Linked DNA regions of Drosophila melanogaster. The protein of the gene in region 1 purifies or fractionates together with the protein of each later gene. This does not show direct contact. Each region holds a gene or a part of one and is shown in the gene's direction. Other genes may lie near its edges.

What was found. Proteins that work in one complex are often made in the same cells at the same time.
Region 2: the proteins of Sas-6 (region 1) and Plp purify together in Drosophila melanogaster (affinity purification with western blotting, with the first as the bait; one study listed by BioGRID). This does not show direct contact.
Region 3: the proteins of Sas-6 (region 1) and Gorab purify together in Drosophila melanogaster (affinity purification with western blotting; one study listed by BioGRID). This does not show direct contact.

What each region holds. Positions count from the first base shown.
Region 1 is NT_033777.3:29,992,999-29,998,181, forward strand, and holds Sas-6 (spindle assembly abnormal 6), read left to right. Parts: upstream 1-2,358; 5' UTR 2,359-2,368; coding exon 2,369-2,542; intron 2,543-2,601; coding exon 2,602-3,453; intron 3,454-3,511; coding exon 3,512-3,845; intron 3,846-3,899; coding exon 3,900-3,958; 3' UTR 3,959-4,028; downstream 4,029-5,183. Other genes in the region: Acph-1 (acid phosphatase 1), read right to left, coding at 1-197; CG7903 (uncharacterized protein), read right to left, coding at 764-815, 875-1,090, 1,150-1,741, 1,795-2,080, 2,152-2,160; CG15525 (uncharacterized protein), read right to left, coding at 4,029-4,377, 4,440-4,576. UniProt on the Drosophila melanogaster protein: Central scaffolding component of the centrioles ensuring their 9-fold symmetry. Required for centrosome biogenesis and duplication. In ciliated neurons, required for centriole assembly but not necessary for cilium basal body and cilia function.
Region 2 is NT_037436.4:15,086,532-15,092,538, reverse strand, and holds the start of Plp (Pericentrin-like protein), read left to right. Parts: upstream 1-2,345; 5' UTR 2,346-2,720; coding exon 2,721-2,747; intron 2,748-3,985; exon of another isoform or gene 3,986-4,213; coding exon of another isoform or gene 4,214-4,228; intron 4,229-6,007. Other genes in the region: sstn (stepping stone), read left to right, coding at 1-1,185.
Region 3 is NT_037436.4:17,426,143-17,431,148, reverse strand, and holds Gorab (Golgin, RAB6 interacting), read left to right. Parts: upstream 1-2,312; 5' UTR 2,313-2,403; coding exon 2,404-2,503; intron 2,504-2,587; coding exon 2,588-3,287; intron 3,288-3,344; coding exon 3,345-3,561; 3' UTR 3,562-3,844; downstream 3,845-5,006. Other genes in the region: Coq4 (coenzyme Q4), read left to right, coding at 812-1,032, 1,090-1,294, 1,549-1,772, 1,846-2,002; Polr3G (RNA polymerase III subunit G), read left to right, coding at 4,080-4,223, 4,293-4,421, 4,479-4,841; COX7B (cytochrome c oxidase subunit 7B), read right to left, coding at 4,954-5,006. UniProt on the Drosophila melanogaster protein: Required for centriole duplication likely through its interaction with Sas-6. During embryogenesis, maternally provided protein is required for centrosome duplication and nuclear division cycles of the syncytial embryos.

The sequences.
Region 1 (5,183 bases):
TTCAGCTGGCCTGGCAATGTGGCCGAAATCTCCACTGGATGACCTTCAGCATTAGCATAGCCATGAAGCGAATTGGCCAGCGCAAAAGACAGCAAACATATAACGCAGATCAAGATGAGCCAGCGCTGGCTTGGGTGGTTCCACATTTTGCGAGCCACACTTGTTACAAGTGAACCACAGCGACTGCGGGAAAACATATGTGAGCATGCGAATACAGGTTACGGCGTTTGGTCTACGGCTATAACGGGTATTAGTTCCCTTACCTCGACCGTATAACTGGCGATCTGTTCGTTCGTCGTTCGCATATATACAGCAGGCAGTCTGAAGTTTACCAAATTTCTGATTTCTTTGTTTATAATTTTGGGGACCTGTTTGATAACCACACAAAGCTTCGAAGTCTCGATAACGATAGTTGTCCCCAACCAACCCTAGACCCTAACAGTAATCTTTTGGCGGGATGATTTAAAAACGCAAATGGTGTTTATGATTGTATTGATTGATTGACTCGTCGTATCTAGTTGCACACAAGAAATATGATTATTTAAGTATTGCATAAATATCGAAACAATCTTAGACTACGAATAACAAATATACTGTTGATGTTGGTCTTAAAAGTACACGGCTATAGGACAAATTAAAAGTCGTCGTCGTTGGCTTAACTAAAAGATTCTGCGCGCGGAACAATGAAAAACAAAATTCGGCTATTACATTATTAAGTGGAGTACACGTGGACTGGCAAACATCGTTGCTGCATTGCACTTGCTTAAAATCTTCTATTGCCGCCCATATTTGGCCCGGGTCTGGGCCCGTTGAAGCTGGAAATGGCGATGATTGGGGTTAGTGGTTTTTATGCAGACGATATGAATGAACCTACCGGTTTCTTTGGCCTGGACCTCCGCCGCCACTGCCCAAGGGCGGGAACTCCGAGTGATATGCATTTATGCCATTCTGATTGTGATTTCTACCTCCTGAACCTCCGCGTTTGCTTGGGCCTCCTTGGGGACTGCTTGTCTCGTGACTGCTATCGCGTCTGTCATTGAATCCGCCTCCTCCTCCATTGAAAAATCCACGTCCTCCCGGTGGATTTCCTCTATATGGCAAAACAAGATATTATATATAATTTAGAACCCAATCTTATGCACAACTTACCCATTAGTCCCACGATTGCCAGAGTTCATTGGTCCATTGCCAAAGCGTCCGAAGCCCATTTGCTGCTGCTGATGCTCTACAGGCAGGGCAAATCCACGTCGATCCTGTCGCACATGGCTTGGACCTGGGCCGCCGCCGCCGGCCCTCTGATTTACGGATCCTCCTCCCCCGCTGCTGGAGCTGCCTCCCTGAAAGTCACTATTATTGCCTCCTCCCCTATATCCGCTGGTTGGACTGTTCTTAAAGTTTCTTCTGCCAGGCTGTGGTCCACTGTTGTCCCGCTGCTGAAACCGATTGCTGCCGAAGCGTCCCTCGTTGCCCGCGCTTCCACCGAACTTGCCTCCGCCTGCAAATTTGTTCCTAAAGCCCTGTCCCTGATTGGAAGACTCATTGTTCGGTGGTCCTTTCGAGTATGGAGCACTGCGCTGTTGTCTGTAGTTGGACTCGTTTCTCACGGGACCAAATTTGGCGGCCGAGGAGTTCGAGCTCCTTGGGCCTTCGTTGGAGAATCTGCCACCGACTTCCTCACGAAAGTTGCGCTTGAAGTTGGTATTGGATTCATGAGGTCTCTTGTCCGCCCCGCCACCTTGAACTGAGGATGATGAAATACTTAGATGCTGGATCTTTGGAGTGATCAAAGCTTACCCTGCGAGGGCCTGCGCCCCGGATTGTCCCCAGAGCCCGGCTGACCTCGACTGCCACCTCCCGGGCCGTACTTTGGCCTGCCCGCCTCCACCACAATGGGCTGGCCCTTGAAGATGGTGCCATTCAGCGCTGCGATGGCCGCCTCCGCCATGTCCGTGTTCTCCAGATGGACGAAGGCGCAGCGATTCATCACGTCGCACTCAACGACCGATCCATAGTTGGTGAACAGTCGACGCAGCTCCTCCGGCTTGCAGCGCGGCAGGCTGCCGACGAACACCTTGGCGGTCTGCAGGATAAAGCTAGCATTACTCCGGATTACTATGGACAATCCGGCGGCGCTGCCTCTTTCTTACGTACAGTATTCATGTATTTATTTTTCTCTACAACTTTTCGCTGTTTTTTTCTTTTATTGAAATGGAGATGGACAACTGTGCACCTGACCGGCAGTGTGACCAGCGATGGCTACTTCCACGGCCATATCGGTAGCTATCGACATCGATAGACCCAAGCCATCACTTTTGTTTACCAATTTTAAAATTTTAAAAATTAAGGTTTCTCACGAGCCTGATCTATCATGTGGCCTCCAGGGAGCGAGGATAGCTACTCCGCCAAAATGGACTATGGCAAGAGCGTGGTGAACATCCTGCCCAGCGTAGAGATGCTGGTGAACTTTAATGGCGAAATGACGCGGTCTAGCAAACGGTCATGTCTACTGTACGCGGAGAGAGTGGACTTCAAGGAGCTGCTGGTAAATATGCTTGTCAAGACCTCCTCCGATCAAATTTCAATACATCCTCTGCCCCACAGCAACTCCGATTAACGGAGAAGTCCGATCAACGGCGCATGTACATCACCACAGTGGACAGCGCCTCCTTTCAGGATCTTAAACAGGATCAGTCGCTGAATGTGTCATTCTCTGGGTTCATTGACAATGTAGTGCGCATGCTGAAGGACTGCCAGTCGGGTAAACTGGAGCTGCACCTGACCACACGGGATCAGAACCTTTCATCCGGCAGGGAGGTCCACGACTATTATCTTCAGTTTGTTGAAATTCGGTCCTTTAAGAACCTAGTTCACCTTAGCCTGCCTTGTCGTTCTGCTCCCTTGAACACCGTACTCTTCTACATAAACAGCATGCTGGAAGCCTCCCACAAAAAGCAATATATTCTCGAGCAAAGTATGCAGCAAATGCAGGCTGAAATCAACGCACAACGCGCGCATGCGGAAAGGTTGACCACGGAAAACACAAATATCAGGGAAGCTTTGGCCGAAAATACTCGCATCTTAGAGGAAAAGCATGCTGCCGAGGTCCATCAATACCAGGAAAAACTGTCCAAAATAAACGAGCAGCGCAGCAATGAGCTGGAGAGAAATCGTAGAGCGATCTCCGGCTTTCAGGCCCAATTGGACAAGGCTTCGTTGGAGAAAGCAGAACTAAAGTCGGCCCAAGAGCAGGCCGAGAAACGATGTCAAACCCTGTCCGAGGAGTTGTCCTGTTGCAAAGCCAGAGTGTGCACCCTAAAAGAGCAAAATGACAAACTGCACGGGGATGTGGCCAATATCAGGAAGCATGAACGCAAGTTGGAGTACAAAATCGAGGACCTCAAGCAGCACACTGTCGAGCTGCAGGAACATATTCAAAAGGGAAACAAAGAGAAGGTATGTGTATAAAAAGAATAATGCACATCAGAAGAGTATATCCCTTTTAATTTTGCAGGCCAACATAGCCGCTGAACTGGAGGCCGAGAAGAAGATCCTGCACACCAAGCGCCAGGCTTTGGAAATGGCCTCCGAGGAGATCTCCAAGGCCAACCAGATAATCGTTAAACAAAGCCAGGAGCTGCTCAACCTCAAAAAGACCATTGCCTGGCGCACAGAGGTGGCTCTGCAGCAAGAGAAGGCGGTTCAGGCCAAGGAGAGCCTACTATCCCTGCGGGAGAATGAGCTGCGCGAGGCTCGAATAACTATTGAAAAACTGAGGGAGGAAATCCCCCAGCAACTGCAATCCATGCGTAACTTTGCCCAGGGACTGGAGCAGAAGTATTCCAAACGTAAGCTGAGACCCCAATCTTTAAGTGTACCTACTTACAACTTGCTCTTTTCAGAAATCCTCATTCTAAAAGAACGGCTTGCAATACCCACGGGCAAAGAAAATCGGCGATAGTTTTACTTATTGTTAATGCATTTTTTCGTTTTTTGTACCAGTTTAGTAAAGTTAGTTGTATTATTCAGCTCTAGTCATAATCCTCCTGAACACTTTCACCTGCATGAGCCGTGGCCACATTCACCGCTTGGCTGATATCCTCCATTTGGTTCAGTTTCAGTCGCTCACGGATGAGTTCAGCAATAGCTTTCTGGGTACGTCGTTCCAGTCGCTCCAACTTTTTGCTGGCATCCCGCTTCAGATCCCAGTCGGGTTTTCGGGGAGCCAGGTTGGTTATGTCAATCTCATCTATCACCATGGGCTGCTGGAGCAGACTCAATTGATCCTCCACAGCTGATTCTATGTTGCCCGTGGGTTCCTGTGCTAGAATCTCGCCATCGGTGGTCTCATTCTGGGGCTTGTAGCTGCGGAAAACTGGTCTGCAAAGATATATGAAACTGGTTTATAGGGATTCATAATAGCATTTCATTGTATTGCTGACTTGGGTAACTTTTCAATGGACTCGGCAGCGTCTCCTCCTTTGTTTTGCACTTGTTCCCGGAGTTTTTGCAGACGCTCCTTGCGTTTTAGAGATTCTTGTGTCAGCTTGCCGACGCCATTGTTGTCCATCATGCCCATGTGAAGTTTGTTCTCAAGATAATACAATTAATTTAAATTTGAGTCTGGGGTCTTTACGTTTATTTATTATTGTTATGTTTCTTGTTCTTCCCATACATATATCGTATATCGATTACAATCGCGTTCGTTACCAGCTTGGAATTATGCAGGTATGAACTATTATTTTACAACAAGATATTTGTTGTTATACAAGATTCGATTTTATTTTATTTATTACAATTTAAGATTAAGGAGGCGTATCAAGATATTAAAAATACATAATTACTTTAGTGACGAAAGCAACCACATTCCACAACGAATACGGTCTGATCGAAACAACCGATGAATCGATAGCGGCCAAGATGGATACACAGCGTTTGTTTTTGCGCAAGGGGGTGGAAATCGGAAATCTGCTGTACTTTCGTGCATTTTAAACAAACCAAATAGGCATTATAGCCGATGGAAGTGGACCCAGCATCCTTCCAGCTCCTCTAGGCACCCGTTCCAGGGCCCGGCGGCTAGTCCGTCCCTGCCAATTGGCGCAGCGACATCGGCAGAGCGCAACCAGCTGCTGTTTGGAGTAGCAAAAATAAACCAGAGCACAGCTCCCGCTCCCGCTCCCGAGCAC
Region 2 (6,007 bases), on another chromosome or scaffold:
GCGAATTCATCCAATGTAGCAACTTTAAGGCAACCGCCACAAGTGGCGCCCCAGCAGCAACCAATTATAGTGCAGTGCGATAAATATTACCTATCGCCCACGCATCAAAGTTACAATGAGGGCGGCTTTATTAAATCAAGTCAGAACATCAAGAAATATGTGTCCCCAATGGCATCGCCCAGTAATATCAGCTACGAGCAGCAGCAACAGCGTAATCCTTTACATCACCAGCGACAACTAGATGCTATATCCCTTGCGCCCAGCTATGTTTCCGTCGATATGGAAGCTGCCCAGCATCAGCAGCAATATCGATGGCGTTCCCAGTCACACATAGCGCCCTTAACTCCTCCACAATTGGGCATAATAGAGGTGAAATCGCACTCCAGCGATATGCTGGCGGTGCCTATGCCACCCAGCCGCTATCCGCCGCACGATGAGATCTCACTGTCATCCTCGTCCACGACCATTGAGAAGAAGCCCAAGCCCAAGCAGTGGCTGGAATCTTCGCTAGATGGGCCAGCTGTTATCAGGCAGATGGATTCACAGCCCCACAGTCCAGCTGGGAGTAGTAATGGGAGTAGTAATCCCGGCGCAGCTGCCATGGTTTCAAGTAAACCCCGCGCTAAGCTCTCCTCGCAGTCCATGTCGGTAGCGGGTCGTCACTATTCCATGTCCAACCAGCGACCGACTCCGAATTATCCCAGTGCCAGCTATGCGGTGAATACCAGTTCGAAAGCCCTGCTAAGTCAATCGACTTCGTATCTCAATGCAATGGAGCAAACTTTGGGGATATCGGTATCGTATCCGCTGGAACCTCTGGACATACCAGCACTGCGAAACTTACCACCCAAGCCAAGTCAAATGCAGCAGCCAACGCCGCCGCCCAGACCGCCACCCGCAAATCAGGCTCATACTCAGAACCAGAACCTAAGTCACAGTGGTAATGGCAGTTCAAGCGGACTTGCTCATGGGAATGCTGTCCAAACAGCGCTTGTGTCACCGCCAGTAACAGTGGCCACAGCCAGTTTATCGCCGGAAATTCGCATCGAGTCGCCCAAAAACATGACCGTAGTTCAGCAGGCCACTTTCCAGCCGTACAAGGAAGTGACGAAACCCTTCGAGATGTCCGATTTCTACAAATACTCCACCAAGTTTAAGCAAAAGGAGGGCGGAAATCCTAATTGACCTATAAGGTTGTACGGAATTCTCATGCACTTTCACCTTTTAATGTGATTAACTAAACTAATTTTGTAGCACTGAGAAACTACAAAGCAAAAGCAGCTCAAACTATTGGACTCCTTTCGAATTTTAAGTTCGTTAGCCAAATTATTTAGGATCAAGAAAATAACAATGCTCAAAAGATCTGCCAAATTGAAAACTGACGTATTGAAAGCAATTTATCGAACGACATTCAAATTTTGTATTGAATTTTTAAAGTACAAAAAACACAGGACAATATTATCCCCGAGGGGGACAGAAATCGCCTTACAACAGGATGCCTAGAAAATATGGAAATATTTTATATAGTTAACAGCATTTATAAACAAATAACTGACTAGCTAACTAATAAGTGTATAAAGGATATTTACCCTAATCGAATGATATTTTTATATGAATATACCGATTGGATACTGATATATTCACCGAGTTTTCTTAAGACTAACTACCGACAAGCAATAACAAATAGATAAAAATAAATATTTTATATTAAAATATATGCGAGTGCGTTTTTATTGATATTTAAGCATTCAAATATTTCGTTGAACTTCCAATATTTTTCTCAAAACATTATTAATGCTCTTGTAGCATTTCAGATTTTTTGAATAATTGAAATGAAAAGAAAGCTTTATATTTCCCTAGCCTATAAATAAATGTCTCATTTATACCCATAAATGTGTTCTCACTTCCTTAAATCATTCCTTATCGAATATATCTTGTAGTTCCTTAATCTCTGGTTAAAACTTATTTATAGAACAACCGATAAAACTTAATTACTTTCCTCCCCTTTATCTCTCGGATTTCTCTTTGTTTCTCTCGCGATCTGGTAGTAGTACATTGAATTCTCTCTTTTGGACTCTCCCCAACTCAATGCCACTGCAACAAATTTTGTTTACGATTGATTATTTTTAAACAATCTCTTGTTGTGCTTCACTGAGCATTACAGTATCTGGATGGGGAGAAAAAGAGCGTGGATATCCCCCGATACCCCAAAAATATAAAGACTCTTCGCAATGGATTTGGTTCTCAGTTGCATCGCGCTCGCTATTACGTGCAACTGTTTCAGATCGGTTGCACTATTGGTTTTTTTTTGTTTTTAAGTTTCAAATTTGTCGGTTCTTTCTCCCTCGAGGAGCATTGAAAATCACATAATGATAAATTAAGAGTTCACGCTTTAAGTAGCTAGTTTCCCCCATTGTGTTGTCTTCGTGTTAAACTTTAAATTAAAAAAATATCAAATTTTACGTAAAGTCTCCAACCTAACCTACAAAATTATTCGGTTCGTTGCATTCGTCTGTGTTTGTAAGCAAGTCAACCCGAAAAAATTCTAAAATATAGTGTCATCAAAACCACTACGTAAAAACATCAACAAGAAAATGGATCGCATTTGGGCCACATCTAGAATGCCTATAGATATAGCCAACTGACAGGCGCAAGTGTCAACAAAGGCGGCCAAAAAACAGGGAATAGGCCATAAATTATTTGGTTCAAGTGCAGTCACCATGAATCTGTACACTATATACGATTGGGTAAGCCAAACAATCAGGGGTATCCATTAAAGTATTAACCCATTTGGGAGCCGAACATCCATCATCTGTGCTCTCGGATTGTGCATAAAATCCACAAAATGTGGGTTGAATGCGCCTTGATATGTGTGTTTTCAATTCATTACGATCCACAAACAGAACATGTTGTTTTTCAAGTGTGTTTACAAATGAAATCGAAATTGAATGCGCCTTTGAACTTTCGATTAGAAGACCACAAGGCCCTTCCGAAATCTGTAAACAATCTACAGTGAAAAATACCCAACGGATTAGGAATTTTAAATAATATTTTATTTTTTAAATAAGTATTATATTTTATATCATTGAATAGCATACTTTTTATTATTATAGAGCAACTTTTTAAGTGAAAATTATAATTGAATTGTCCACATTATGCGGTTTTAATTGCTTTGTTAAATAACTAATACATTTATTAGTGAATCTTGGCTACTGTTTCCCTGTTTATTATAAACATCAATATTCATATTTTTGAAAAAATGTCTCGCTACAATAACCGATTCGCTTATCGATTTTGTTGAGGAAAGAATGTTTCTGCAACTTGTTGCTGAATAAATCTAATACATGTACCGCAATACGATGAAAATTTTTGGATAATGTATACGAAAATGATCAAAAATTTTTAATATTCATCGAAATGATTAATGGCTCGAATTTCTTATATTAAATTGTTATTGTATACAAATTTTAAAATAAAATTTGAACTTCAAGTTTTTAAACTTAACTTAAAATGTTTTATGATGATTATAGAATAATTATAAATTACTAACTATAAAAAATGAAATATAACAGTTTTTGAGGGACATTAATTCTGATTATAATACTAATTCTAAGTACTTATATATATAGCTACTTCAGTATCAATCGCAATCGCGAATCGTAAAACAATAGTTCTAAATGCTTTTAAAACTACTCTTTTGCATTTATCACCATCTTCCAAACAAATTTATGTTCCACACACACATTTTGTTTATAAATAAAAAATGGGAGCGAACATTCGGTGCACGGAACCGCTTGGAACCGCGTTGCAAATTTCCGCGGCACTCGCTCTCAATCGCTCGGCCTCTCCCGTGGCTGCTCTTTTCCAACGCTTTTCTTTTGATTTTCCTCGGATTGAGTGACTGATTTCAATTGAATGTCTCTTCGGGCGTTTTATTTATAAAAGAACCTGCACTGCAGGCGGTCGCGTCGTCGTTTTTCGGTTTTCCGCACATTTATAGCTCTATAAAGATAAGAGTGCAGTGTCAGTGCCTGTGATCCCATAAAATTGTTTAAAAAAATCTACGAAACATTTGCATATACGTAGAAGTTTGCACAATGTAACCCTCAATAGCCATTGTCGATATATGGACTTTTTAAGTGATTGTAAATTGCATTTAATTGAGATAACTTCTTCATCGCTGAATTGAATCGAATGAGTGGCGGGCAGCGAAATGGGGAAATTGCATGTGAGTTCAGTTATTGTCCGCAATGTGATCTTTAGCATCGCCCAGTGACATTTGCATCACTCGCCAGCCAAAGTGTGTTAATATCATTCGAAACCGCATGATAATGAACCAAATTAGTGGATTTTTTTTGCATTGCAGTGTACTTAGAGAAAATTATACAGTATTTACCATATTTTCTATAAATTTAGTTACGATACGATCTCATTCTTAATTGTTCTTGAATATTATTTATTAGAATTACTATTTGAAAGAATAATGCTGTAAAAGATTTGGTTTGTAAATCAAATAAAATGCGGGTATAGGATATAAAGCAATTCATCATCTACTTCACAATCATATAAATTGTGTGTTCATATGTAAATTTTTATATAAAATATGAAAATGTTAAATGCAAGCGTTTAAGAATTTATATTAAACTAAACCCTTTAAATGAAATAACCTTTCTTCATAGCAACGCAAAAGAAAATCCTTTCTCCAATCCGAATTTATTTTTGTCCAACATATTTCACTGTCAATTCTGCGCCAGGCAAAGCTATTAATTTAATCATTTTCGCCAATATGCGTGCCATTATTGAGGGTTTATCGACAATATCTTGTGGAAAATCAAAGGAAAGGCGTCAGCGCCATTAACAGAGACGTTGGGCTAGGTCCTTCGCCCCTTTTCCCGTTCCAAAGGGGAGTGGCATTGTTGTTATTAGTCGCCGAAGTGCAAAAACCTCAGACGATCCAACTGAAATGTGTGTCACACCCAAACAACGGCCCACAAAAGAGGTCCAAACTATAGCAACAAATTGAAATGTTTGCAAGGAATGTAAAAGACTTTCGTTTTCGTTTTTCACGCACACTCAAAGAAAATCCGTTGTCATGGTTATAGGTGCAAACTTGTTATCCCGATATCCTTATCGCTGTGCTGGTACTTCCTGAATGTGTTGTTGTTGTCTTTGTCCTGACAAGTTCAAGGACGTTCAAACCACCATGTGGCCGGGAATTGGATAACTTTTTCACAAGCATTTTCCGCTAATATTGTGAAAACTTTGTCAAGCGTTACGGCCTGACCCACATGGCGTATGTGTAATATGGAAAATATATTTTTCAGTCGTTCAAAATACAGTACGGACTTGAATTGTATGTAAATTACAATTTAAACTTAATATAAATGGGAAATAACTCTTTTTTTTTTAAAGCAAATATTGCAATAAATATATTTTAAATAAAATTTAAAAAGTTTGCATATATGTAAGCCGACATTTACTGTATGATCTACGATATAAGTTGGAAAAGGCTTATTATTCAAACGTTGAATGCATCGCCTTGGCACATCGCTATATATGCATGCGATCTAATTAGATTTCCATCTGTGAAAAATGTAATTGGAAAATGCTTAAATATTTCCTCACTCGATTGGGGAACGGATGCATGTGTGGCACACGTTTCAAACACCTTCAGACATATAGATCACTCGAGTGGACAGAGACGTCTTTCTTAATTAATGTGGGCAAGTCCAAAAATAAATAATCCAAACATATGCAACTCCTCCGCGAAGGGAACTTTATTACCAAACATAAAGATGCCTCGAATGCTTCTAATTATAATTTAAATGGGAAACCGACAACCGACACAGCTGCAATCCATCAAGGAATGGATGTGGGCAGCAGTAGCGTCTTGCTTGCCCTCTCCAAAAGATAGCCACCAATCCACAGAACCACACTTGAGATGCAGGTCAATTTGAAATTGGATGTGCTGGCCTATCATTGCCCACATTTCCAATCGCATTTGTTT
Region 3 (5,006 bases), on another chromosome or scaffold:
AGCCAAGAACGTGATTGCGAGTGGTGATAGTATTTTTTAGAATAGTACGCCTTCCGATATTTTGTGTTATTTTCCGTTTCATTTGGTAATTGCCTCAAAAGGCTTTTGTTTAGATTGTAGTGCTGAAGAATCTTTTTCTTTGTCTTAAAAGTAAATAAATTTGCGCAGCTGAAACTGTTTTGTTTTAGCGAAATAAGTATGTATACTTTAAGATGGCTATCTATTTTCTTAGAATTAGATTTTACTTGGTAACTGCCTAGTTCCTTATCAAAAGATTAAGATTTAAATATCCCACATATATGTTGCTAAACTTATCTTTTAAATGGTGACTACTCATTTATCCAAAGAAACAACAATGACGACATTGAATCGGGCATAAAGCGGCAGAATGAGGTGCTAGTGCCCCGGCAGCACTTTGTTTGGGTTATTTTGGGAGCCCGCAATATATGATGGGCGGTGGTGAAGTGAGGGATTCGGAGTGGGGACAGGTAATGAGGAAGCCGAAACAGGTTTGCACAGACTTAGCCGTGCGGTGAGGTAAATTGTTAGTCAGCATCAGCCCCGACCGCGTACCCACATTATGGACAAATTGTTTGCTCATATTCGCCGCTATTGAAAGTGGGCACGTACATACGTACGTATGGCTCGAGGGACCAGCTTTAACCGAAGACAGGTAGTCAGGGTCATGTTTGTGTGCGACGATGATGATGATGATAATAATAATGTAATGATGATGATGCCGACGATCGTGCTGATAAGGTCACCACCGGGTGCACCTCCCCATATCTCCTCTATGAATCCACAGATCATCATGATGCAACGCTGTTTGCGTCTCCAAAAGCCGCTGGCCCTACGACGAGGCCTTCGCTTGGCCCAGGCTAATAGCCAAGCGGTGGCCACAGAAGCACCCGAGGCGGAACCTCTGGATGCCTTCGAGCGTCAGTACCTCAAGGAGCGAATCGAGATATCGCCCTTCCAGCGGCTGTTCCTGGGGGCAGGATCCTCCATTGCCGCGCTCTTGAATCCAAGACGGTAGGGCATCTGATGAAATTTAAAAATCTCTTAAAACTCTTAATTATTATTATGAAGTCATGACATGATCGCCTGTTTGGGTGAGACGACTGGAGAGGATGCTCTATGGACAATTTTGGACACCATGCAAGCCAGCGAGGAGGGTCAGCGCATCATGGCTGATAAGCCCCGCATCCACACCAGCACCATTGACTTCAAGTATCTGGAAACTTTGCCACCGGATACCTTTGGAGCCGCTTACGTAAAGTTTCTGAAAGATAATGTAAGTAGTTCAAAGAATCCGGTAAGAAAAAGCGTTAGTAACCATAAAACGACGAAAATCTGGTTCAAAGACATTCCTAAGAGAATTTGGACAGTGAATGTCATGGTCGAATTTGAAGTTGGTAACAATTGAAAATCTTAAAAATTATTGTCTCATAAACATACTTGCATATAAAAGATATATTTAGATGGAAAATAAAATAATAATTGCTTTTGTCCATCGCTTCAACGATTATTTTGGTAATCAATTTTCAGCAAGTCACGCCGGACAGTCGCATGGCCGTGCGGTTTTTGGAGGACCCGAAGTTGGCCTACTTGATGACGCGATATCGCGAATGCCACGACCTAATCCACACGGTGCTGGACATGCCCACCAATATGCTGGGCGAGGTGGCTGTCAAGTGGGTGGAGGCTCTGAACACGGGCCTGCCCATGTGCTACGGTGGTGCGGTATTCGGAGCAGTTCGCCTACGTCCCAAGTGAGTTCAGTGAACTGGGTTCTCTAATTATAGCTCCCCATTCACGCGTTTGTTTATTTTCTCCTCCACTTAGGCAGCGGCGTGCGTACTTGAAGCATTACTTGCCGTGGGCCCTGGAGAACGGCAAGCGGACCAAGCCCTTGATGCCCGTCTACTGGGAGAAGCGCTGGGAGCAGAACATCCACGAGCTGCGCTCCGAATTGGGCATTACTGTGCTGAATAAAGCTTGATAAGGCTGTTTATTTTTAAGCCCATTTTTAAATTTTGAACTTATCGACTATTAGTATCGAGCAGTCCTATCGCGATCGTAGAATTGTGATCTGGCAACGTCGTGTAACGTCGAACTGATTGTAGATGTTTCCACTTACAAAGAAAATTATTATTTGATTATAGCAATAAATATAAAAGTTGATGCAGTTTGCCGAAATAATTTAAAGATCGAGAAAAAAACTTTATATTATTTTTTATATTAGAATTTGAGCACAGTGAGAACAGTCAATTTCCGCGAATGATCGCATCAAAACTTAACCCGATGTGGCAACTCCACTCGTTCTGTTTGCATTTGCTGATGTGTTGTTTTGTTTTTTTCGGTCGATCGTCTTAATGGCTAATTATCCCTAAGTTAAACACCATGACTGAGAAATTCAATGGTTTTAGCCACGACGAGATCCTCAAGATAACGGGCGTGAAGGAGGGCGGTGTGGGCAAAAGGCCTGCGAGTCTGGAAGCAGGTTAGATCACTAAGCATGAACCCCAAAGCGTGTAAACAATTATCTGTTTATAATAAAAACCTTTGCCTATGTGTGCGTGAGCAGCGAAGCCGGCGCTCCGAATTCAACCCGGCATTCGGCGTATGCCCGATAAGATCTTCCGGCAAGCGGATCAGTTACGGAAGCAGCAGCAGCAGCAACCACAGCAACCCATACAAAAACCGGATGTGGCGAAGAAGACCAAATCGGGAACAGCGACTCCCACGGAAAAGCCACCGACTCCCACTCCCGCGGCGGAGGATGACGTAGCGAACGGATCGCTAAATTTGGACCGCCCACTCTCCGATTCATTAATAGAGGCACTCTACCATGGAAATGCTACAGCTAGAGATAAGAAAACTCCCGCCACGTATGCAGATGCTGAAACAACGTCCACCGACGACAGTTCGATTCTGAAGATCAGCGGCGGTGACAGCCAGACAACTAGCTCCACCGATGATGGCAGCATCCTGCCGAGTACCCAGGACACCTCGCCGCGGGAGCGCCTCAACACAGACTCACCTTTCAAGGGCATCTCGCTGAAGGACTTCGAACAGCATCGCCGCATGATCGAGGAGCAGAACAAGCAGAAGAAGCAAATGCTGTACCAGGCCATCGAGCAGCACACCCAGAAGACGGCGGCGGAGTCGCGAAAGATCGAGGAGATCCGCCACGAGCTGTCCAAGCTGGAAAGTGATCTGGCCGTGGACGTAGCTCTGCTGAGGAAGCAGATCGACAATGCCTGCATACATTTTGCCAATGTAGAGTAAGTGGCGAAGCCAAATACTTGTGTGTTTCCCTTATTAATATTTATGTTACACAGAAAACAATACGTCAAAATCGAGGCTCAGTTCTTGCGGGCCAAGATAGAGCTGCACAATGCATCCGAAAAGAAGGAGCTGCTCACAGAGCATCTATGCACAGTAATTGCCCACAACGAGGACCGTAAAGCGCAAAAGCTTACTGAATTGATGCAGAAAGTGGGTCTGTCGCCAACCGATGATTGCCAACCGATTGATTTAACTCAACAAAGCCCCTAAACACGTAACACGTGTAAATTCAACTTCAAATCATCTTTAATTCGAATTTTCAGCGGTGTTTGCTTAACTTGACCAAAAGTATCAATTTGTTGCTCCCTGAAATATTATATTTTTTAAATTGGAAAATTATGTACTAATTTTCCATCGGCTATATTGTATTGGAATTGTAAACATAAAACACGCCTGAAATATGTCGAATGCGCTCTAATATTAGCATGTAATTAATGTTCATAGCCTAAGTGATGAAGTGCAAATTGCAAATAAAATATGTATATGTTATGTGTAAAATTAAAGTGTAATTACTGAAACTGAGTAGTTGGAACTGCGACCTAAATAAAAATAAGGGTATTAAAAAGCGAACATTCTTCAATAATGTTATTGTTTGGCTTTGACTATGTGGCAACACCGTTAGCTGCGGCAACAGCTGATCGTTTTCAGAGTTTAATAAACGTGCAAGCTGAACAATACAATCGGAAATAAGTGTTTCTAAACAGAATACAATAAATTAAGCATTTATAATGGCAGGCCGCGGAAGGGGCGGCAAGACAGGCACCCTCACGGCGGAGCAAATGGCCATGTTGGGATGCACAAAGGATATGCCGGTGCAGACGGCGCCGCCACCTACATTTCCGCCTGTTTTGAACAGACCCACTACCCTAGAAGTGGGTACAAATCCATTTACATTAGTTTAAAAAACATCGATCAACTTTTTACCTGTTTTACTTCGATAGACAACAGCCACACAGAACTATCAGCTCCTGTGGAAGGAGGACTTTCTGAACCGAATGCGAGATTCCCCCTATTACATGATCTCCGCCAGTCGGGACGCAAAAAACCTTGATCACAAGGACTGGCGAGAAGTAATAATACTGGCTATTTTAAATTAGCTGCTTATAATCCTGCTTTTACACCCCCAGAAAGCCATGGAGCGCATGAAGCTCACAGCACAACCCGATTTTAACTACAAAGCCATGCCCCAAGAGCTAAACATCTCCAGTCGAAAACGTCGTGGAGCAGATGCAAGGCCGAATCTGCTGACCAAGAAGACAAACATCGAGGACAGACTGAAGGTTCTGGAGCAGAAAGAACTGAAATCAGGTGGCGGTGAGCAGGACGAGAACAAACAAGAGTCCGATTCCGAACAGGAGGAGGAGGAAGATCCGGAGGCGGCGTTGGATGATGAGATGGACGAGGACAACGACTACGGTGCAACGTACTTTGATAATGGAGAAGCCTTCAATGATGAGGACGACAACTTGGACGATGGTCCCGTTTACTGAGACAAATAAAACCATCGAACTGATTACTTTCGGATCTGTGATTTACTATGTCGCCACTTTAAGCTTATTTAACACAAATGTTGGATTAATTTACACGTAAGGGAACGCTGGCTTAGTCCAGGCTCTTGGGCGCGTAGTAGTTGAAGTGGATGATACCAGAAGATT